Linked DNA regions of Stegostoma tigrinum. The protein of the gene in region 3 interacts with the protein of the main gene of each other region in a biochemical or structural test. Links are inferred from orthologs where the notes say so. Each region holds a gene or a part of one and is shown on either strand. Other genes may lie near its edges.

The links.
Region 1: of the proteins of irak1 (region 3) and E3 ubiquitin-protein ligase pellino homolog 1, one has a biochemical effect on the other in vitro, tested with the Homo sapiens proteins (5 studies listed by BioGRID and IntAct, with this or other methods). The link is inferred for Stegostoma tigrinum from reciprocal best matches to the Homo sapiens genes IRAK1 and PELI1.
Region 2: the proteins of irak1 (region 3) and irf7 form a complex in vitro, tested with the Homo sapiens proteins (2 studies listed by BioGRID, with this or other methods). The link is inferred for Stegostoma tigrinum from reciprocal best matches to the Homo sapiens genes IRAK1 and IRF7.

What each region holds. Positions count from the first base shown.
Region 1 is NC_081362.1:1,841,748-1,849,615, reverse strand, and holds the start of E3 ubiquitin-protein ligase pellino homolog 1, read left to right. Parts: upstream 1-4,854; 5' UTR 4,855-4,979; intron 4,980-7,868. UniProt on the Homo sapiens protein: E3 ubiquitin ligase catalyzing the covalent attachment of ubiquitin moieties onto substrate proteins. Involved in the TLR and IL-1 signaling pathways via interaction with the complex containing IRAK kinases and TRAF6.
Region 2 is NC_081370.1:35,411,719-35,419,550, reverse strand, and holds the start of irf7 (interferon regulatory factor 7), read right to left. Parts: upstream 3,068-7,832; 5' UTR 3,026-3,067; coding exon 2,994-3,025; intron 2,850-2,993; coding exon 2,684-2,849; intron 1-2,683.
Region 3 is NC_081402.1:3,446,175-3,453,287, forward strand, and holds the start of irak1 (interleukin-1 receptor-associated kinase 1), read right to left. Parts: upstream 3,068-7,113; 5' UTR 2,958-3,067; coding exon 2,846-2,957; intron 1-2,845.

The DNA.
Region 1 (7,868 bases), on a different chromosome or scaffold from region 3:
AACCGTTTGGATCATGATTGCACAATTCCCTGCACCCATTCATTTTGTTCTGCGTCACTTCATTGGATTCCTGGATAATGACTGCATTTAGGAAAGTAAATTGCAGTCATCAGGAGAACAGGACTCCTCTCTCAGTCACGCTGGGAGAATCCCTAATCACAAATGGAGCTCATTCGGCCATTGTGCTTATTCTAGCCCTTTTTAGAAACTTCCCAATTCATCCACTTGTCATTACCAATAGGTATGTTCATCATGCAGGCCACTAGCCTGTGGATTAACGTGTCTCATGTACCTTTTACCTTATAATGATTCAAGTCAAAGCAATCAGCTTTTACTTAAACAGTTAATTTATGTCAAGCTATTGTTAAAGGTTCCTTTGAAAAAAAGACATTAATTTATTAACAAGAAAAGAACACTTGTAAATATTACTCTGTCTTATCTGTAGTTTCTGTTTCTTAACTTTGGTTTTTTAAGTTCCTGTGGCATACTGTCGGTGCTTGTTACTGAAATGAAGAGGTTATTATTTGAAGTCAGATCCAACAGCTGTGATGCATCTTTTAGATTCAGATTTAGAATTAGATTTAGATTTAGATTTTATTGTCACATGTACTTAAGTTCAGGATTACAGGAGTACAATAAAAAGTGTACAAAGTCACCATTCTCTGGTTCCATCTTTGAACACAAAAGACAATATTAAGAACAGAAGCAGAAGTAAAAGAAACAGCCAAAAGAAAAGGAAACATTCCTGTCAGAGCTAGTAAAAACTGCCGATGCTGGAGTCAGAGACAACACAGTTTGGAGCTGGAGGAACACAGCAGGCCAGGCAGCGTCAGAGGAATAAAGGTTCATACCACGCCCTCACCTGCACCGTGTGTCCTCACCACCAGAAAAACAAAATCACTAAGTCCATCTGTCAGTCTAAGAACACCCCAGTGCCAGGAGTTCCCTGCATGCAGCTGGAACACCACCTCCACCATCAGGTACCCCAAGCCTAGCCATGTCCTGGAGCTGTGTTATTGCTGTTGGAACCAGCTCACCGTTCCTCTGTGTCATCTTGCCTCCACCTCATCACCTCCATGAGTTCTCGCTGTTCCGACCTTGGCAATGCAGCTACTGCTCAACCTGCTGGCTCCCAAACTGGACTCGAACCCAACACTGGGCCCAGCATGTCGAAGCAGCTGATACCGTTACATTACTGCTGCTGCCTGCTGGTACTGTCATCTCTGCAAAGCAACCCACCATTACTGAGCCCCACACCACCCCCACCAGGAAGAGGGAAATTCCAGTCACTATCCATATCCCAGGAAAGGGAATGCTCCAGCCACTACTCACATCCCGGGAAAAGGAATGTTCCAGCCACTACCCACATCCCAGGAAAGGGGGACGTTCCAGCCACTACCCACATCCCGAGAAAGGGAATGTTCCAGCTACTACTCACATTCCAGAAAAGGGAATGGTCCAGCCACTACCCACCTCCTGGGAAAGGGTGACATTCCAGCCATAACCCACATCCCGGGAAAGGGGAATGTTCCAGCCACTATCCACCTCCTGGGAAAGGGTGACATTCCAGCCATAACCCACATCCTGAGAAAGGGGAATGTTCCAGCCACTACCCACATCCCAGGAAAGGGGGACGTTCCAGCCACTACTCACATTCTGGGAAAGGGGAATGTTCCAGCCACTACTCACATTCTGGGAAAGGGGACGTTCCAGCCACTTCCCACATCCTGGGAAAGGGGAATGTTCCAGCCACTACTCACATTCTGGGAAAGGGGGACGTTCCAGCCACTTCCCACATCCTGGTAAATCTCTTCTGAATCCTCTAGAGGCTGATACTATCCTTCCTATAATTGGATGACCAGAACAGGACACAGTATTCCAGAAGAGGGTGCAGCTGTTTTCCCCGGAGTCTCGGAGGCTGAGGGGTGGCCATATAGAGGTTTATAAAATCATGAGGGGCATGGATAGGGTGAACAGCCAAGGTCTTTTCCCCAGGGCAGGGGAGTCAAAAACTAGAGGGGCATAGGTTTAAGATGAGAGGGGAAAGATTTATAAGGGACCTGAGGGGCAATGTTTTCACACAGAGGGTGGTGCCTGTTTGGAATGAGCCGCCAGAGGAAGTGGTGGAAGCTGGTACAATTACAGCATTTAAAAGGCTCCTGGATGGGTATAAGAATAGGAAGGGTTGGGACTAGATCAGTTTCGGATATCTGGTGGGCATGGACAAGTTGGACCAAAGGGTTTGTTTTTATGCTGTCTGACTCTCTGACTATGACTGTTACAGCTTTTTACATGCCATAGTTGAAGATTCAAATTCCCCTACTTTGATGTCTATTGAGGCAGGAAACACTACTTTGCATTTTAGAAGGACCTGTCATGTTGCCCAGGTCTAGATGCATTCTAAGAGTCTCTCTTTTGTTATTTGAGATTGGCGCACTGTTCAATTGGCTTTGAAACAGTCCACTGTTTAACTGACACAGTCTACTTTGGCCTCCAACTTGAACGGACGTGTTTCACTTAGAAGCAATGTGCAGAATTTTAAAGCAAAGATGTCCTTTTCTTTAATAGATATGACAGCAGGTGACATATTTGTAATTCAATTCCATCATGTTTTCTCCTATTTCTCTTTCTCATGTGCACTTCCAGTTCAAGTATGCTCAACAAGGTGATTAAAACAAGGAAGCCATCAATGGGAAAAAAACTTGAAATAGTTTCTGAAACTAAGAGGAAAAGTAGTTTTGGAGCAGAATTCCACAGACTGTGATGTAATGAACAAAAGAATGAGGCTGATACAGAGGAACATTTCTGCTTTGAAAATGTAAACGGTGATGTCGGACAATCACTAATAAATCCAACTGGGAATTCAAGAGAAAAGTTTGTACTCAGAGAATAATCTTTACCAGAGGAAGTGATCAATATAAATAGAATTGACACCTATAAAGAGATGTTTAGAAAATACAGTTGGGAGAAAGGAATACATGGACAACTGACAGATGGAGAAGTAGGAATTGGAGCAGAAAGAGAATGCACATATTAATAACATAATGATGGATACAGTGCTGTAAAATTGACGTCAGCAGTTACATGCCACTGTGATTCTGTGAGGAAGGAATAATCCATGCAAGATGGCTGTGTTACAGGGATCAGTGTAATGTAAAAGAGTTTGGTGGCATAGAGGCAGAGATACAACAGTCTCAAAGTGGAGACAATTCATGATAAGGGAACAGCCTCCTCAGGACAGGGCTCAGCCCTTACCTGTGAACCATGTGTCAGTCTAGCCCAAGGGGACTGATTTACTAATGGTTATCTCAGTGCAGACAGAGCAAATCAGTCAGGGGTGGAAAGAGGTTAGTGTTGAAGTAAACAGCGCAGACCAGTTGAGCTGAGTGGCCCATTCGAGCTGTAAATGTTATTTAATTCTATGTAATGTACAGATATTAATGCAAATTGGCTGTAAGGCAATTGATAAATAGTGTACACTGTTCGGGTAAAGCGAACTTTCTACTATACAGGTAAAGAGATTCTCTTTTAGCAATTTCCCCATAATGTGATTATCTATAGCATGAGGTCACACAAGAATGCAACTATCACGTTATCGGAGGAGTACCTGCAATTCTCTTTTTTGATTTTGCTCCTGCTTGTGTTTTCCCCAGGTTTTCAGTCAGTGCATGCCAGATTAAGCCTCTGTTTGTGAAGACAAGAATCTTGTCTGTGTTTTGTACCTCTCACTCAGATGATTGTGAATCAGTTTTGTCTGGAATTTCCCCTTCTATCTTTAAGTGATAAATTCATAATCTCTCTGATCATGAAGTCTCCTTGCAGTTTCTGGTGAGTGGCCTTAGTGTAGTGCAGAACTGCGGAAAAATGTGGACTCGGAGTGGGCAGATGGCTGCCATGTTTGGTTCAATGCAGAGAACTGTGAAGTGATGCATTTTGATCAGAAGAACATTGAAAGACTTAAATAAGGGGTACAATTCTAAACAGGTGCAGGAGCAGAGGAACCTGGTTGTCTAAGTGCACAGAACAAATAGAGGGAACAGCAAGTAAGGCACACAGTGTCCTTGGCTTTGTTAAGAGGGGCATAGAGTACAGGAGCGAGGAGGTGAGGTTGAAATTGTACAAGATACTTGTAGGACCTCAGCTGGTGTACTGTGTACGGTTGTGGGTGTCACATTATAATAAAGATGCCAATACAGTGGACAATTTACAAGAATGGTCTAGGGGTGAGAAACTTCAGTGATGAGGTTAGATTGATAAAATGCTGTGTAAATCTATGAATCTAAATTGTAACATTTCTCCTTGGAGAGAAGAAAGCTAACAGGACACTTCATTCAGGTTTTCAAAATTATGAGTGAGCTCGATACACTACATACCCTTTCCAGTTGTATAGGGGCCTACATTTAACAAGAACCACAAAAGAAGCAAGTGTGATGTGAGGAAGATAACAAAGTGTGAGGCTGAATGAACACAGCAGGCCAAGCAGCATCTCAGGAGCACAAAAGCTGACGTTTCGGGCCTAGACCCTTCATCAGAGAGGTTTTCACACAGTGAGTAGTATTGTTTGGAATCATAGTGGAGGCAGGTTCAGTTAGGAATTGCAGAGGCCATCCGATGAAATGGTGTGCAAGAAATGGGGGAAAACCAGGAGATTGGTATTAGGCAATGATGCTCGTTTGGAGGGCTGGTACAGACAAATGGGCTGAACGGGAGGAGGGAGGATGAGGAGAGGTGGATGAGGAGAGGTGGGGGAAATGGGGAGCTGGCTCACTCTGTGAACTAGAGCTCCCAGGATGCTGTCCGCTGAAGCTGACTCGGGCTCCGCTGTGGGAGGGATAGAGGGAGGGGTTAGGCAGAGCCTGGTTGCAGGAAAGCGAGGGAGGCAGACACAGTCCCGGAGGTTTCAGTTGACGAGCGGCTGGGGTTTGCGCATTAACCAGAAAGGAAAGAAACCAGCCACACACAAAGCAAAACCGAACCTGGTAAGAGAAAGTTGTTTTGTAGCTTTCTCGGGGGGCGGGGGGGAGAACGGGATGTTGCAGCCTGGATGTGTTGGGAATTTTAGTGATTGCATTTCGGCTCCGAGCTGAAGCCCCATGTTCGGAGCGAAGCTTTCATTTTCTTGATTGGCTTTATGTGACGAGGACAGTGATTTGTACAGTACTGTGTGTGTGTGTGGGGTTGTACAAGGCGGTTGTGAGTGTGTGTGTTTCTCTCGCTCTCTGTCTCCAGCTGGCCCCCTGTGTGTGGCTGGGGAGTGGGGAGTGGGGGGTGGGGGGGAGGTGGGAAGTAGAGAGCACATTCCGGCTGCTGCTCCACACAAAGAGGCGCCTCCAGTCCCGGGGCCAGAGACACTGTCCACACCGAGAAACAGCAGCGATTCCGGGCACCCACAGACGGCGCTGCGCTGGGGAAGCGAGCTTCCGATCCAGTCGGTATCGGGACTGAGTAAAAAGCCTAACGATTCACAGCGGCCGCAAGAAGCGAATTAAAAAGACCTGCATTTTTATAGCGCTTATCACGTGTCGAAGAGTCCTGCAGTCAACGGAATGCCTTCTAAAGTGTAGTAGCCCTCTCCGTAGGAAACGAGGCAGCCAGCGTGCGCACAGCAAGATCCCAAACAGCAAACAATTATAACCACATAATGTTATTATGCAGTTGCGAGAATAGGACCTGTTTTTCTCAGGCGGGTGCGGGGAGGTGGGGTGGCAGCACAGATTTAGAGGAATCAGTAGAAGGCTTAAGGGAAACCATTTTTCACCGAGAGAGTGGTAGGGTCTGTAACAGACTGGGGCAGAAACCCTCAACTCATATTCATCTGAATTCACAGAACCTCAGGGTTAAGAATCAGTGCTGGTAAAATGGGATCCGTCTGGGTATCTTATTTTTTCAGCCAGCATAGGATATCCACCTATGGCTAATAAGGGTGGTTCGGGCAGTTAGGGATAACTGATCTTCTTGAAGAAGCGATGAGATCCATTACATCTGAGATAGTGGGAACCGCAGATGCTGGAGAATCCAAGATAACAAAGTGTGGAGCTGGATGAACACAGCAGGCCAAGATCCTTTACATCTGTTTGATCAGGCGACGGTCTCAATTTGCCACTGCCTCAGTTGCTCCTCTGGAAGGTCAGTCTCTTGCTGAAAACCTGGAGTGGGATTTGAACCCAGATCCTTATGATTCAGGGATGAGCATGCTACCTGCTGAGCCTGGATTCCAATTTTCCCAGTGCCTGAATCACTGGAGGTATGGCCCCCTCCTACTGGACACTTTAGTCTGGGAAAAATAAATGAGAATGGAAGACATTACTTGATCTTTGTAATTAGCTTTGTGTAACTAACGCCTTCTTTTAGATCAAGCCATGTCACAGGGTGTCTGGAGACATCTGAGTTCAGGGTATTGGGACCAGCTGGATCTGATCATCACCAGACATGACTCTGAGCAGCATTCCCAGCACAGGCTGCTACCACAAAGCTGACTGTGACACAGTTCACTCCCTGCTTGTGCACCACGATGAGGCTGCAACCCTCAAGGATTTTCCATTCAAAGCAGGAATGCTGTCCTTGTATCAATGTCAGTCATACTGCTGACCCAGAACAAAAACCGACAGTTCCATTACTTAATAGAACAGGCACTGTCTGGCATTCCCACACAGAGCGAAGTAGCAAAATGGGGCATACTTCAAGACACTATGCACTGTCATCATGTGGGAAATGAGTAGAAAATGCTGACTGATGTTAACTTCAAACCATTGTCACAGAATACATCATAGAAGCTAAACAGTCTGCTTTCATTAATTGCAAGAGAGATCCAAGTGAGAAACTCTGAATCCAGTAAGAGCTGCTCAAAGTAAAGTTCGAGGGACTGTGCCAAAGACTACTGGGTACAACTGCCAAAATATTCCATGTCCTTCAACACTAGGAAGGTCAGAGGCATGGTTGATGGAATCAGAAAGTCAAGAGGTCCACCAGCAAAGAAAACTGCTCTGTTGAAAATGCTTTAAACATTTGGAGAGATGGGTGGAACATTACCTTGACTTGTACTGTAGGAAGAACACAGTCACTGAAGGAAGTTGGCCTGTCATGGCAGGGATGGACCACAATCCACAGCACAGAAGCTGAACAAAGCTGTTTTTCACTTACCACGGTCGAAGTTCCAGTTGGCAATGCCGAGTTCACTGAGCATGGGAACCTAGCATTTCTGCAGCTTCTATGTGGATTTCTTTTGCTGCTGGAGGGAGAAGGCAGTGCTGCAGGATGCGTGATACAAAGATTGTGAATGTATATGAGAACAAGGATGGCTGCAGAAATTACTTAAAAGACTTAGCAGATCTCACAGCATCTGTGGAGAGAAAGCAGATTAATGTTTCTGACCATGTGATCCTTCTTCAGGGTTCCTTGTGGGAGAAGTATTTTCAAGTGTTGCTCTTGCCAGACTGTAAATCCTGGTTGAATGCATCCATCCTGAAACTCAATGTGGTTTCAGAACTGGTAGATTTACGAATGGTATGATCACCTCTGTACAGCAGCTAGAAGAGAAATACGATGAACAATTTTATTGTCATTCCTTATTTATTTACAGTGGGCTGAATGGGCCTCTACTGCTGTCATAATATGCATAATATGACTTTTTTTTGTTGTGCTAACTGTCCTGCATTTCATTGTGTCCAGTTTTATTATAGTTCTAAAAAGTATTGATTTTGTTTTAAACTTTCTTTAATAGTGAAATTTTAAGGATTGCAGTAGGTGAATCAACTTCCAGCTGATATAGAGAAGTATTGCACGTGCTGAAAGCGTTTGTCAAAAAGTGTCTTTAACCTGAAACATGAACTGTTTCTGTCTCCATAGTTGTTCCAGACCTGTGAAGTATA
Region 2 (7,832 bases), on a different chromosome or scaffold from region 3:
TCAGCCCATTTTTCCCCATCGGATTAAGGTCTTGTTGTACTCTGAGATAATCTTCTTCACTGTCCACTACACCTATTTTGGTGTCATCAGCAAACTCACTAACCATGCTTTCTATATTCACATCCCAATTGTTTATTATAGATGATAAAAAGCAGTGGACCCAGCACTGACCCTTGTGGCACACGGCAGGTCACAGGCCTCCAGTCTGCAAAGCAATCCTCCACCACCACCGGCTATCTCCTACTATCAAGCCAATTTAGTGTCCAATTGGCTAGTTGCCCCTAGATCTAACCTTACTAACAGGTCTATTATGTGGAACTTTGTCAAGTTCTTTGCTGAAGTGCAGATAGACAACTCTGCCTTCATCACCTTTATCACCTCTTCAAAAAACTCAATCATAATTTTGCATGCACAAAGCCATGCTGACCTCTCTCTAATCAGTCTTTGCCTTCCCAAATGCATGGAAATCCTGTCCCTCAAAATCCCGTCCAACAACTTAGCCACCGCTGATGTCAGGCTCATTGGCCTATTGTCCCCTGGCTTTTCCTCACAACCTTTCATAAATAACAGCACCACATTAGCCACCCTCCATACTTTGAATGCCCACTGTCATATCTCTCTTTGAGCACCGATCACAGCTGTTGCAGGTGTTCAGGTGAGGTGGCATGCAGCAAGCCTTGAAATGCTCCACCCATCCCTCAAGCTGCTAAGCACAGGGACAGCAAAGTGACACTTACAGTGTATTGAGACCCTCAGACAACGACAGCCAGAGAAAGTCTGCTGCTTGGGATTTCAAGTGTTTTGAAAACAAATAAATTGCCAAATCATCACTTAGGAGCTTGATATTTACACACAGGAGGATCCCACACAGAAATACACAGGCAGAGACATGCATCAATAGGCTGACATTATTAAGGTCACCATAGCCTAGCAGACCAAAGACCTGCTCTCTGACAGGAGAAATGGCTGGTGGTAGCTAAACCTGAGGATCACCACATCTCAGGTGAGGGCAAAGACTGAAAAAGAAATTTCCTTGAGGAACCTCTGCTGGTCCAAGAATTGAACCCACACCATTGGCATCAATCTACGTCACAAACCAGCTGTCCAGCCAAATGAGCTAACCACCTCCACAACACATGTAAAGAGACAAAAAGACAGCTACTCACTGACCCAAAACTGAATACTTAATTAAACCCAGTTAACAGATGCCAGGCTGCTGACTTATGAAAGGTCAAGTTATAAAATGAATTGGAGCATTGGGAGGTTATCGAGTTGATAAATGCATTACAATCTTCCAAGAATAAAACGCTCCTTCAGTGCCAACTCTCCTGACAGCTGTGCACTCCCACAGCACCCACCCTCCGACAGCACTCCCTCAGCACCCACCCTCCGACAGCACTGAGCTCCCATGTCTGGAAGGAGATTTGAAACATTTTTTCAGTTTCAGGAGGAGCGGATGCTCTGTCACTTTAAATCACTGAATATTGTCAGGCTGTGCCCCAGGCGATAGTTATTCCTCAACAAACACAAAATGCTGGGGAAACTCAGCAGGTCCGACAGCATCTGCAGCGAGAGAAACAGAGTTAATGTTACCAGTCTGTACGACTTGTTCATAACTAAATTTCCAGATCCAGACCTGCTCAGTTCCTCCAGAATTCTCTGCGCCCGTTTTAGATTTCCTGCATCTGTGGGGCTTTCCTTTCGTTTGACAGCTATTCTGGCTTCTCACCAAAATCGCCATCACCCAGGGAGTGGGCAGTGGCTGATCATTACTTCCCCAACATCCTCAGCTGCCCATCATAACAACAGCATCACCAAGTGAGTTCATCTTCCAATTTGAAAGAATAGGCCAGTACAACTCTCCACTGCGCCAGCAGAGGGAGCAGTGATAAGGAACCTGGTTTATTCCTTGTGTATGCACGTCAGGTAAACACCACGTATCTACACAGCAGGGCAGCAAAGAACCCAACGTTTTTATGTGATGTTTGGCATGGGGAGCATTTACAAACTAAACGCTGCCGTGGGTTCCCTATATTGGACAGTCTCTGCTGAGATTAGCTGATTGGTCTCACTTTACCATAATTCACTAACTTTTCATGCTACACATCAAACTCTAAACTAATATTCCTTGAGAAGGCCAGACTCCAATTGAAATTAGAATCTAATTAAAGAGAGCTTAGCCAACATTTTTCATTTTCTCAAAGCCGAAACATTTCAAACAGGAATCCCTCTAGAGATAGACAACATCGAAAAGACTGGCATTGCCGCAGCACATTGTTGGAGCAGCAGATCTCTCGACGTGCTGTACAGCCAAATCAATGCTTTTGAAGTTAATCACTGTTGTAATATTGGAATCAGACCAAACAATTTGTGCACAGCAAGCTCCCACAAACAGTAGTGAGACAATTACAAGATAATCTCTTAATTTACTGGTTTTGACAAAAACGCCATAGCATACTCTCCTGCTGTTCTTCATAATTAATGTCAAACAGTCTTGACATCCACCAGGGTCTAACTTTCTGAGCGGCGATCCCTCAGTGCTGCCAATCTTATGCAAAATATCGGGTTCGGACTTTTTAATTCAGACATTTGCTCGCTCAGCCGCCTCATACTCCCAGGCTGACTGTACAAACAACATTAATTGTCTGCAGGCAACTGCTCACACCCCGCTGCAAGCCCCTACCTTGAAGATGCTGTAATCATTCTCACACAGGTCCTGTCTGCCGGCGTGTTTCCAGGGAATACGGAACATGGTTTTTTCTTTATTCAACCAACGCAGTCCATGGTAACTGCCGCTGTTAATCTGAGCGATTAACCAGGATCGGAGCTGTGGTTTCTGGTTGTTCATTCTGTAACAGATTGGGACAACGCTCTGTGTTACAAACACGGTGTAGAGCAAAGCAAGATAACGAATTCTGCAACAGTACAAGGTGCAGATCAGACATGGAGACTTGTCCCCAGTAAATACATTCCTGCAAGAGAGAGCGTGTCACCTCTGTTTGCCCATTGCAGAAACGACAAACATCAGGACATCGCTCTGCTTTCAATTCAACGCACCCTGGCTCTGCAAAGCTCTTATATAGAGGTGTGGGCCGCTCAGAGACGTCACATGCTAACAGGGAGCACCACCTTCTGTAATCCAACCCCCACCATAACCTCACTTTACAGGCAGAGTTCACGTCTGTCCCCACCCTTCTCCACCCCCGCGGTTTGTGGTTTCATCATCTCACCACGGCTCAGAAAGCCCAGCACCAGCCTCCATCCTCATACTTGGCGCGCGTACTGTCATTTTCCAAATATGGCAAACCTGTTTCCTTTCCCTGAAATCACGTGGAATCCAGTCGAATTTGTAAGCTCAGTTATTTCTAAGTTTCACTTTCCATTGTTGCGCTGTTAGCCAAACAGGAATTGGCGCCAAACTTCGAACATAGCCAATTCTGTTCAAATAAAAAAGGGAAAGCCCTTTCATTTTGCAAGGCTTTGGGAAATTTTGTTTACCAATGAGTGAACATTATCAGCAAGTAATTTGAAGATGAGCAAAACCCAAGCCCTCTGTATGTTTCCAGGCCCTGAGAGAAATTCCTCTTCCACAAACTAGCCCTTGGACAGCTGTTTGAGTGTGTCACTTGCACTTGAGTAACTCACCAAGTCTCCTCCAACCTTTCAAATCCATAACCTGTAAAAGTAAAAAGGCAAGGGCTGCAGACACACAGGCACACTGCCAAACAGTTTCGAATGGTTCCTCAATGATCTTCCCTCCATCATAAGGTCAGAGGTGGAGATGTTAATTGATGTTTGGAACAATGTTCAGCACCATTTGCAACTCTAGATCCTGAAGCAGTCCTTGCCCATAGCCCCAAGATCTGGGTAACATTCAGTTGAGGGCTCATCAATAGCTCATAAGTGTAATGAATGTGCCACTGGAGTAGCAGGCGAAGTTCATGTTGCAAGAAAACTGAACCTCCATTTGATATTCAGAGGCAGCACCATTTCTAAGTTCCCCTCCATTAATATCCTGGGACTTGTCATTGACCAGGAACCAGAATGGACCAGCCAGATAAATAAATGTGGCTACAAGATCAGACCAGAGTCTGGGGATTCTTGCAGTAAATAACTCACCTTGTGATTTACAAAGCTTTCCATTGTATAAAAGGCACAGGTGAGGAACATAATAGAATGAAAAAATCAACCCAAAGAACTGCAGATGCTAGAAATCAGAAACACAAACAGAAATTGCTGGAAAAAACTCAGCAAGTCTAGCAGCATCTGTAGAGAGAAAGTAGAGTTAATATTTTGGGTCCAGTTAACCTTCTCCAGAAGCCTGCTGAGTTTTTCCAACATGATAGAATGACCCCCACTTGATTGGATGGCAGCAGCTTCAATAACACCCAGGAAGATTGACAACATCCAGGAAAAAGTTTTCCACTTGCTCAACATCCCCTTTCACTGCCTTAAACATTCACTCCCTCCATGTGCAGTGCATAGCGGCACATAATTTTCCATCTACAGGTGACATTACAACAAATCACCAAGTCTCCACAGGCAACATCTTCTAAACCTGTGCCCTCAATCACCTGGAAAAACAAGGCCAGCAGTAACATTACATTGCAACACCACCATAGCAGGCTCCCTGCTGAGTCACGCACGTTAGAACTATATCAATTTTCCTTCACTATTGTTGAGTCATAATCCTGCAACTTGCTTCCGAGCAGTGTTGTGGCAATACCCTCATTCCAAAGGCAAAGCGTTCAAGAAAACAGCTCAGCGGTACTTCTCAAGAGCAATTAGTGGGGGATGAAAAGCGATAGCTTGAACAGCAATGCTTTTTTTTCTCAGGAACACATAAAACAACACTTCCGTGCTTGTCTCAGTTGTGGGCGCCCTTTCTTAGCTGTGAGTTAGAAGGTGTGGGTTTCAGTCCCACTCAAGGGCGAGAGTAAAACAATCTGGGAGATACTCCAATGAACGACTGAGGGAATCCTGCATTGTAGGAGGGTCAGTGTTGAGGCACCGCTGCACAGTCAGGGTGTCAGTACTGAGGGAGTGTTGCACTGCCAGAGGATCAGGACTGTGGGATTGCTGCACTGTCAGAGGGTCAGCACTGTGGGATTGCTGCACTGTGAGAGGATCAGTACTGAGGGATTCCTTGGAGTGACAGCTGCACTGAATTGAAGGAGAGCTGCATTGTTGGAGGGTCAGTACTGTGGGAATGTTGCACTGTTGAAAGGTCAGTACTACGGAATGTTGCACTTTTGGAGGGTCAGTACTGTGGGAATGTAGCACGGTTGGAAGGTCAGTACTACGGAATGCTGCACTTTTGGAGGGTCAGTACTGTGGGAATTTTGCACTGTCAGAAGGTCAGTAGTACAGAATGCTGCACTTTTGGAGGGGCAGTACTGTAGGAGTGCTGCAGTATTGGAGGATCAGTACTGTGGGAATGTTGCATTGTTGGAGGACCAGTACTGTGGGAATGTTGCATTGCTGGAGGACCCATACTGTGGGAATGTTGCATTGTTGGAGGATCAGTACTGTGGGAATGTTGCTTTGTTGGAGGATCGGTACTGTGGGAATGTTGCATTGTTGGAGGATAAGTACTGTGGGAATGCTCCATTGTTGGAGGATCAGTACTGTGGGAGTGCTGCATTATTGGAGGATCAGTATTGTGGGAATGTTGCATTGTTGGAGGATCAGTACTGTGGAACTGTTGCATTGTTGGAGGATCAATACTGTGGGAGTGTTGCATTGTTGAAGGATCAGTACTGTGGGAGTGCTGCATTGTTGGAGGATCAGTACTGTGGGAGTGCTGCATTATTGGAGGATCAGTACTGTGGGAATGTTGCATTGTTGGAGGATCGGTACTGTGGGAATGTTGCATTGTTGGAGGATTGGTACTGTGGGAATGGTGCATTGTTCGAGGATTAGTACTGTGGGAGTGCTGCATTGTTGGAGGATCAGTACTGTGGGAATGTTGCGTTATTGGTGGAGCTGTACTGTGGGAATGTTGCGTGGTTGAAGGATCAGTACTGTGGGAATGCTGCATTGTTGGTGGAGCTGTACTGTGGGAATGTTGCACTGTTGGAGGATCGGTACTGTGGGAATATTGCATTGTTGGAGGATCGGTCATGTGGGAATGTTGCATTGTTGGAGGATCAGTACTGTGGGAATGTTGCATTGTTGGAGGATTGGTACTGTGGGAATGTTGCATTGTTGAAGGATCGGTACTGTGGGAATGTTGCATTGTTGGAGGATCAGTACTGTGGGAGTGCTGCATTGTTGGTGGAGCTGTACTGAGGGACCACTGCACTGTAAGTACTGAGGATGTGTTGCAGTGCCAGTGGTGCAGTTCTGAGTGACTACAGCGCTCTTGATGGGCAAAATGGAGAGAGTATTACACCATTGAAGTAGCAGTCTGTCATTGAATCTTTAAACTGAGTCCTCTTCTGGAGGATAGAAAAGCTTCCTTGGCACTATCTTAAAGAGCTGTTATATTTCCCCAGTATTCCAGTTAGTATTTATTCCTCAATCAATAGATTATCTGGTCATTATCACATTGCTGTTTGCGGGATCTTACTGGACACAAATTGGCTGCTGCATTTCCTGTGTTATAACAGTGACATCATTTCACCGGCTGCAAAATTCTTTGAGACATCTAATGGTCTTGAAAGGAGCTACTGAAGTGCAGTGTTTGTTCTCCCTTTCACAGACATCCTGTGTTCAATTTACTTTTTCACTCTGTCGCTTGAAATTAGTGCTCTATGTTCTACATTATATGTTCATAGAAAATACAAAATCTGAAAGAAATAAATTTTCCACTGCAACAGATGAGCAGGAATTACTTTCATTTCCCTGTCATTTCTACTTTAAGAATTACAAAAAGGAGTATTGAAGAATGCTGTATTGACCTCAGAAAAGTAGAACTAACAGACGTTTCAGCCAGTGTGGGAATTCCCTTACATCCAATGCAAGTGACAGTGCTGAAAGTCAGGACTTAATGCTAGAACCCAGTGTCATTTTGTAACATCAATGTCCAGTACATAATACTTTTGCCAGTGTTGGTAGCCAGTTGTCATGTTCAGTGTCAATACCTGTGTCAGTGTCAGTACCAGTGCCTAGGACCCAGTGTCAACATCAATAATCTTCAATAAAAGTTGTGTTGGTTACAAATTATACCACGGAACCCAGGATTTTCATATGAACAAGGACTCTGCTTGCAGGCAAAACTTTGGGCGGAACTGATTTTGAAATGCAGTAACAATTGCACAAACCAGGACTCTAACAAGCTGCCTGCCTCATTCCTGCCAGGTGAGGAGGGCTAATATCAACCCTTTGCTTCTTAATGTGGTCACTGGATGGGATCTAATAATCTGAGAGCAGATAGTTCAGAGCCACTTGCTGCCACTGGGTATCTGAGTACTGAAGCAAAACCCTCAAGTCAGAGCCGTAGGGTCAATATATGTGCATTACTCATTGTAAGTACCACTTTGACTCCATGCCCTGTACTGAATGCCATCAGATGTCCTGCCAATGCATAAACAATGGTGTTGTTGTTCTGTGCATAATGTAACAAGAAACTTTGCTCATTCTACCCTGGTTTCTCTCTGTCAGTACCTGCTTTCAAAACATCAAAACATCACCCAATGCTAAATGTTCCATTATGTATTTCTATAAATATCACCTTACAATCAGATAAAAGACCTGCTGCTGGTTTCAGTCCAACATAAGCAAATAAACATTGGATGACGAAGACAGTAGTGTGGTTACATTAACTGGTGACTTAGTGAGCTGACTGTTTCAGTAGTCAGCATAAATGTATTTACAAAATGTCGTGTCTG
Region 3 (7,113 bases):
ATCCCCCACCTATCATTTACTCCTTGCCCCCTCCCCGCAACTCCTATCTTCTGCATTTAAAAAAAGACATTTTCCCAGCCACCAAGAGTTCTGATGAAGGGTCACCGGACCTGAAGCGTCAACTCTATTTTTTCTTTCACAGATGCTGCCAGATCTATTGAGCTTTTCTTGTGATTTATGGTTTCGCAAATGGGATGTGACCTTTATACACAGAGGACTGGAGTATAAGAATGCAGAAGTTTCACTACAGCTATATAAAACCATCTGAAGGGGGAAGGGTCACTGGGCATGAAACATTAACTCTCTCTCTCTACAGATGCTGCCAAACCAGCTGAGCTTTTAAAGCAATTTCTGAGTAGGTAAACTAAATTCCACTAAAGACAGATGTGCAGCACGGAAACAGACGTTTTGGTCCAACTTGTCTGTGCTGACTAGATTTCCCAATGTGACCTAGTCCCATTTGCCAGCATTTGGCCCATATCCCTCTAAACCCTTCCTACTCACGTACCCAATCAGATGGCTTTAGTAACTGTACCAGCCTCCACCACTTCCTCTGGTAGCTCTTTCCATATACTCCCCACACTCTGCAGAAGCAATTGCTCCTTAGGTCCCTTTTAAACTTTTCCCCTCACCTTAAAAATTTACACCAAGTTTTAGGCTCCCCTACCCTGGGGGAAAAGGCCTCAACAGTTCACCCTATCCATACCTCTCGTGATTTTATAAAACCTCTAAGGCTCCCTCCCCACCTCCCACCAAGAGTCCAATGACCCAGCCTCTCCCTAAAGCACAAACCCTCCAAAATCCTTGTAAATCTTTTCTGCACCCTTTCAAGTTTCACATCTTTCCTATAGCCAGGAGGCCAGAATTGATCACAGTATTCCAAAACTGGCCTCACCAGTAGTTGGAGATTTGAGAAGTGGGGGCATAGAATAAAACAGCCTTTATTGTCGCATTTACTCTGAGTATAGTGAAGAGTTCTCACATCACCAATTACAGCACCAACACTGATACTAATGTACCTAGGAACAGCTTCTTTAGTTTTAAGGTGGGAATTACAGCCTAATCTGTTCAGGATCAACGTTTGGAACTCTCTTTCAGTGGATTAGAAAAATAGGAACAAAAGGTGCAGGAGTAGGCCATTCAGCCCGTCAAGCCTGAACCACCACTCTAAGATCACGGCTGATCATGCAACTTCGGTATCCCATTCCCACCCTCTGCCCATACCCCCGATCCCTTTAGCCATGAGGGCCACATCCAGCTCCTTCCTGAACGTATCTAATTAACTGGCCCCAACAGCTTCCTGTGGGAGAGAATTCCACAGGTTCACAGCTCTCTGACTGAAGAAATTCTTCCTCATCTCAGTCCTGAACAGCTTACCCTCTCAGACTGTGACTCCTTGCTCTGGACTTACCCATCATCAGGAACATTCTTAACATTCTGTCCAGCCCCATCAGGGTTTTACATGTTTCTATGATATCCCCTCTCATTCTTCTAAATTCCAGCAAGTACAAGCCCAGCTAACCTAGTTTTTTTTGCCTCATCCGTCAGTCCTGCCACCCTGGGAATCAGTCTGGTGAACCTTTGCTGAACTCCCTCAATCTGGATGTGAGTTTGCTCGCTGAGCTGGAAGGTTTGTTTTCAGACATTTCATCACCATTCTAGGTAACATCATCAGTGAGCCTCCGGTGAAGCGCTGGTGTTATGTCCTGCTTTCTATTCAACCTGAGCTACAAATCTTCTCAAAACACGCAAACTCCCTCAATATCAAGAATGCCTTTCCTCAGACTAAGAGACCAAGACTCAAGTTGTGGTCTCACCAATGCCTGTATACCTGTAACAAGACATCCTTACTCTGATGATCAAATTCTCTGGTTATGAAAGTCAGCATGTCATTATCTTTCCTCACGGCCTGCTGCACCGCACGCCAACAGCACACCTTGTCCCAACCTGCCACAAATCAGACAATAATCTGCTTTTATGACCAAAGTGGATAGCCTCACTTTTATCCTCATTGTATTGCATTTGCCAAGTACCTACCCATTCAGCCAGAAACGGAATTAGACTCAGATCTTAATTGTCAAGTCTAGATCACGTTGCGGCTGTACAGGTCATTGGTGAGGCCACTTTTTGGAATACTGTGTTCAATTCTGGTCTCCCTGCTGTAGAAAGGATGTTGTGAAACTTGAAAGGTATTAGATAAGATTTACATAGATGTTGCCAGGGTTGGAGGGTTTGATCTATAGGGGGCAGGCTGAATAGGTTGGGGCTAATTTCCCAGAATGTTGGAGGCTGTGGGATGACCTTAAAGAGGCTTATAAAATCATGAGGGGCATAGGTAGGGTGACAAGTATAGGGGCATAGGTTTAAAAGGAGGGAGGGGAAAGAGTTAAAAGGGATCTAAGGAGCACCTTGTTCACACAAGAGGGTGGTGTGTGTATGGAATGAGCCACCAGAGGAAGTGTGGAGGCTGGTACAATTACAACATTTAAAAGGCATCAGAATAGGAAGGGTTTAAGAGGGTTATGGGCCGAATGCTGGCAAGTGGGGCTGGATTTATTTAGGATATCTGATAGGCATGGACAAGTGGGACAGTCTGTTCCCATGCTGTACATCTCTATGTAGGAATAAGAGTGAAAAGCGTAAGAAGTTATCACCCGGGGCACCGAGATAGATAAATCGTTGCTCAGCAAGTAAAATGGGCTGAAGGTAGGTGGGCGACCTAATTCCACTTGATCAGCCACTGGAATGGGGCAGCAGGGTTCGAGGGGTTGAATGGCTACCCTGGATCCTCAAATCTCGCGTTAACTGATCAAGAAGAAGGGTGCGCGCTCTCGCTGTCTCTCACCGAAGCGGTTCCAGTCGCCACTGCCCAGCGAGTCCATCACCGTGCAGAATTCGCACATGGTGGCGGCGGGCAGCTTGTAAGCGTACTCAGTGGTCCAGCTCCACTCGGACATCGTCCTGTCTTTGGTTCGTGCCGGTCTAGGCCGCAACCCGTTCCTATGGAAACCAAACAGAGCTCCTCACCCTCCAACGCCGAGACCCGCGACTGGCGTCGCCGCCACTCCTCGGGACCCGGGGCCCGATTGGACGCCTCCCATTGGCTGACCGCCCCGCCAATCGGACAGCGCCCAACGCGTCTATTCGTCCCCACACAGCGAAAAAAACATAAAATAACCCCACGTGTCCCTCGCTCCCATTGGTCGAAACTGCAGCCACGCAGAGAGGAATCACGAACTGGATTGGTCGGCCCAGGAGGAGCTCGAGAAGTTACCGCCCCCGTCACGGTGCCTGCCATTCGATTGGCCATCCGGCCACGTCGTCATAGGCATTCCTATTCCCCATTGACCAAACCCGCTGCCACTCAGAATGCAGCTGGAGTTGATTGGTCGGCCGGTGAGTTTGTGGGCTCAATGAAGTCCATGCCCCCTTACTTCCTTCTCCGCCCCTTCCCAATCACGAGCCGGCTCTGTCCCACCTCCACTCAAACGCGATTTCGGCAAACGGACACCGCCCACGGCCAGTTCGCGGTTTGATTGGTCCGACAGTCTGTCACTCTAATCCCACTTACGGCTTTGTGCCCGCACCTTTATCAGCGATTGGCTCAAGGACAGAGCGCGCTGTTGACGATTGGCTGGTGCCCCTTCAATCAGATAGTTCGCATGAACCTGACCCTTGACCCAAGAAAAATACCAATACCCGAAAGATGTTTAAAACTTTCATTATGTTATTATAATGAGATTGGGAGTCTTCATAAATACAAAATGACCGTCTTGAGCCCAATTGCAGAGCAGATCTCAGAACGATACATGACAAAAGAGACCATTCGGCCCATCAACTCTGTGCTGACCCTAAACTTTGTCCGCTCCCACTGTCAGCACTCGGTCCACAGCCTTGAAAGTAAAGACACTCGAAGTGCTCCGCCGCATTTTGAAGTTCAGCAGCGCAGTATTCCATCAGCACTGACCCTCTGACAGTGCCCGCTCCCTCAGCACTGACCCTCCGACAGTGCGTCGCTCCCTCAGCACTGACCCTCCAACAGTGCCCACTCCATCAGCACTGACCCTCTGACAGTGCCCGCTCCCTCAGCACTGACCCTCTGACAGTGCCCGCTCCCTCAGCACTGACCCTCTGACAGTGCCCGCTCCCTCAGCACTGACCCTCTGACAGTGCCCGCTCCCTCAGCACTGACCCTCTGACAGTGCCCGCTCCCTCAGCACTGACCCTCTGACAGTGCCCTCTCCCTCAGCACTGACCTTCCGACAGTGCCCGCTCCCTCAGCACTGACCCTCCAACAGTGCCCACTCCATCAACACTGACCCTCCGACAGTGCCCGCTCCCTCAGCACTGACCCTCCGACAGTGCCCGCTCCCTCAGCACTGACCCTCCGACAGTGCCCGCTCTCTCAGCACTGACCCTCCGACAGTGCCCGCTCCCTCAGCACTGACCCTCCGACAGTGCCCGCTCCATCAGCACTGACCCTCCGACAGTGCCCACTCCATCAGCGCTGACCCTCTGACAGTGCCCACTCCCTCAGCGCTGACCCTCTGACAGTGCCCACTCCATCAGCACTGACCCCTCCGACAGTGCCCACTCCATCAGCGCTGACCCTCTGACAGTGCCCACTCCCTCAGCACTGACCCTCCAACAGTGCAGCGCTCCCTCGGCACTGACCCTCCAACAGTGCCCACTCCATCAGCACTGACCCTCCGACAGTGCCCACTCCCTCAGCACTGACCCTCCGACAGTGACCGCTCCCTCAGCACTGACCCTCTGACAGTGACCACTCCCTCAGCACTGACCCTCCGACAGTGACCACTCCCTTAGCACTGACCCTCCGACAGTGCCCACTCCCTCAGCACTGACCCTCTGACAGTGACCGCTCCCTTAGCACTGACCCTCCGACAGTGCCCACTCCATCATCATTGACCCTCCGACAGTGCCCACTCCATCAGCACTGACCCTCCGACAGTGCCCACTCCATCAGCACTGACCCTCCGACAGTGCCCGCTCCCTCAGCACTGACCCTCCGACAGTGCGGAGCTCCATCAGCACTGACCGTCCGACAGTGGTTGCTCCCCCTGGTGCTGACCCTGCAACAGCAAGGCACTCCCTCCGAACTGACCCCCTGACAGCACCCACTCCATCAGTGCTGACCCTCCAATAGTACTGACGGGAGTGCCACGCAGTTGGAAGGTGTGTAAGGATACAGTGCCGCACTGTTAGAGGGTCAGCGCGGAAGGAGCGGGCACTGTCGGAGGGTCAGGGCTGAGGGAGCGCTGCACTGTCGGAGGGTCAGTACTGAGGGAGTGGGCAATGTCGGAGGGTCAGTGCTGAGGGAGTGGGCACTGTCGGAGGGTCAGTGCTGAGGGAGTGGGCACCGTCGGAGGGTCAGTACTGAGGGAGTGGGCACTGTCGGAGGGTCAGTGCTAAGGGAGCGGTCACTGTCAGAGGGTCAGTGCTGAGGGAGCGTCGCACTGTCAGAGGGTCAACGCCGAGGGAGTGGACACTGTCGCAGGGTCAGTACTGAGGGAGTGGGCACTGTCAGAGAGTCAGTGCCAAGGGAGCGGGCACTGTCAGAGGGTCAACGCCGAGGGAGTGGACACTGTCGGAGGGTCAGTACTGAGGGAGTGGGCACTGTCAGAGGGTCAGTGCTAAGGGAGCGCCGCACTGTCGGAGGGTCAGCGCCGAGAGAGTAAGCACTGTCAGAGGGTCAGCGCCAAGGGAGCAGTCACTGTCAGAGGGTCAGTGCTGAGGGAGCGTCGCACTGTCGGAGGGTCAGCGCTGAGAGCGCGGTCACTGTCGGAGGGTCAGTGCTGAGGGAGTGCCGCACTGTCGGAGGGTCAGCGCCAAGGGAGCGGTTACTGTCAGAGGGTCAGTGCTGAGGGAGCGCCTCACTGTCAGAGGGTCAGTGCCGAGAGAGTAAGCACTGTCAGAGGGTCAGCGCCAAGGGAGCGGGCACTGTTGGAGGGTCAGTGCTGAGGGAGCGCCACATTGTTGGAGGGTCAGTGCTGAGGGAGTGGGCACTGCAGGAGGGTCAGCGTTGAGGGAGCGCCGCACTGTCGGAGGGTCAGCGCTGAGGAAGCGCTGTACTGTCGGAGGGTCAGTGCTGAGAGAGCACCGCACTGTCGGAGGGTCAGTGCTGAGGGAGCGCTGCACTGTCGGAGGGTCAGTGCTGAGGGAGTGCCGCACTGTCGGAGGGTCAGTACATTTCTGAAGAAGGGTTCTGATCTGAAATGTCAACTTCCCTGCTCCTCTGATGCTGCCTGCCGTGCTGTGTTCCTCCAGCTTCACACTGTGTCATCTCTGACTCCAGCATCTTCAGTTCTTAACTGTCTCCACATTGAGTATCTTAGTCTTTGGGATGACAAGCAGTTGGGACCATCAGGGGGAGCTCTGTTTAAACAAACCTAAACCCTCATGAACATTAACTGAGAACCACAAAGCTCAGTTCCAAATAAGAGTACGACAGCCAGCAAATTGTACTGAACATATCTGAGGCACTTCGTTAGATCCCAGCTGGAGGAGCGTGTGCAGTTCCGAGCACCACTCTTCAGGAAGGACATGGACGCTTTGGAGAGAACGTAGCAGAGACTCACAAGGACAGTGAGGTATGAGAAATAGGTTGGAGAGTCTACGAGCTATTTTTGTCAGAAGGATCTGATTAAAACTGTGACGCATCTGACTGAAGGGGAGAAAATTTTCCCGTTTGTCGAAGGATCAGCCGAAACAAGAAAGCACAGTATTTGTGGTAGCGTGGTGACTCGTATTTAGCACTACTTGCCTCGGAGCACTCGGCACCTGCATCTGATTCCACTCTCCGGCAACGGTCAGTGTGGAGTTTGCACATTCTCCCTGTGTCTGCGGGGGTTCCAATTTCCTCCCATGTCCAAAGATGTGCAGGTTAGGGTGAACTGGCCATGCTAAACTGACCACAGTATCCAGGGATGTGTGGTTTAGGGTGGGTTGGGCATCCGAAGTTACCTCGTAGTGTCCAAGGATATGCAGACTAGGTACATTAGCCATGGGACATGCAGGTTTTGGGTATAGAGTGTTGGTGCGATTTGATAGGCCGAATAGCCTGCTCCTAAACTGAAGGGATTTTTTTTAAGG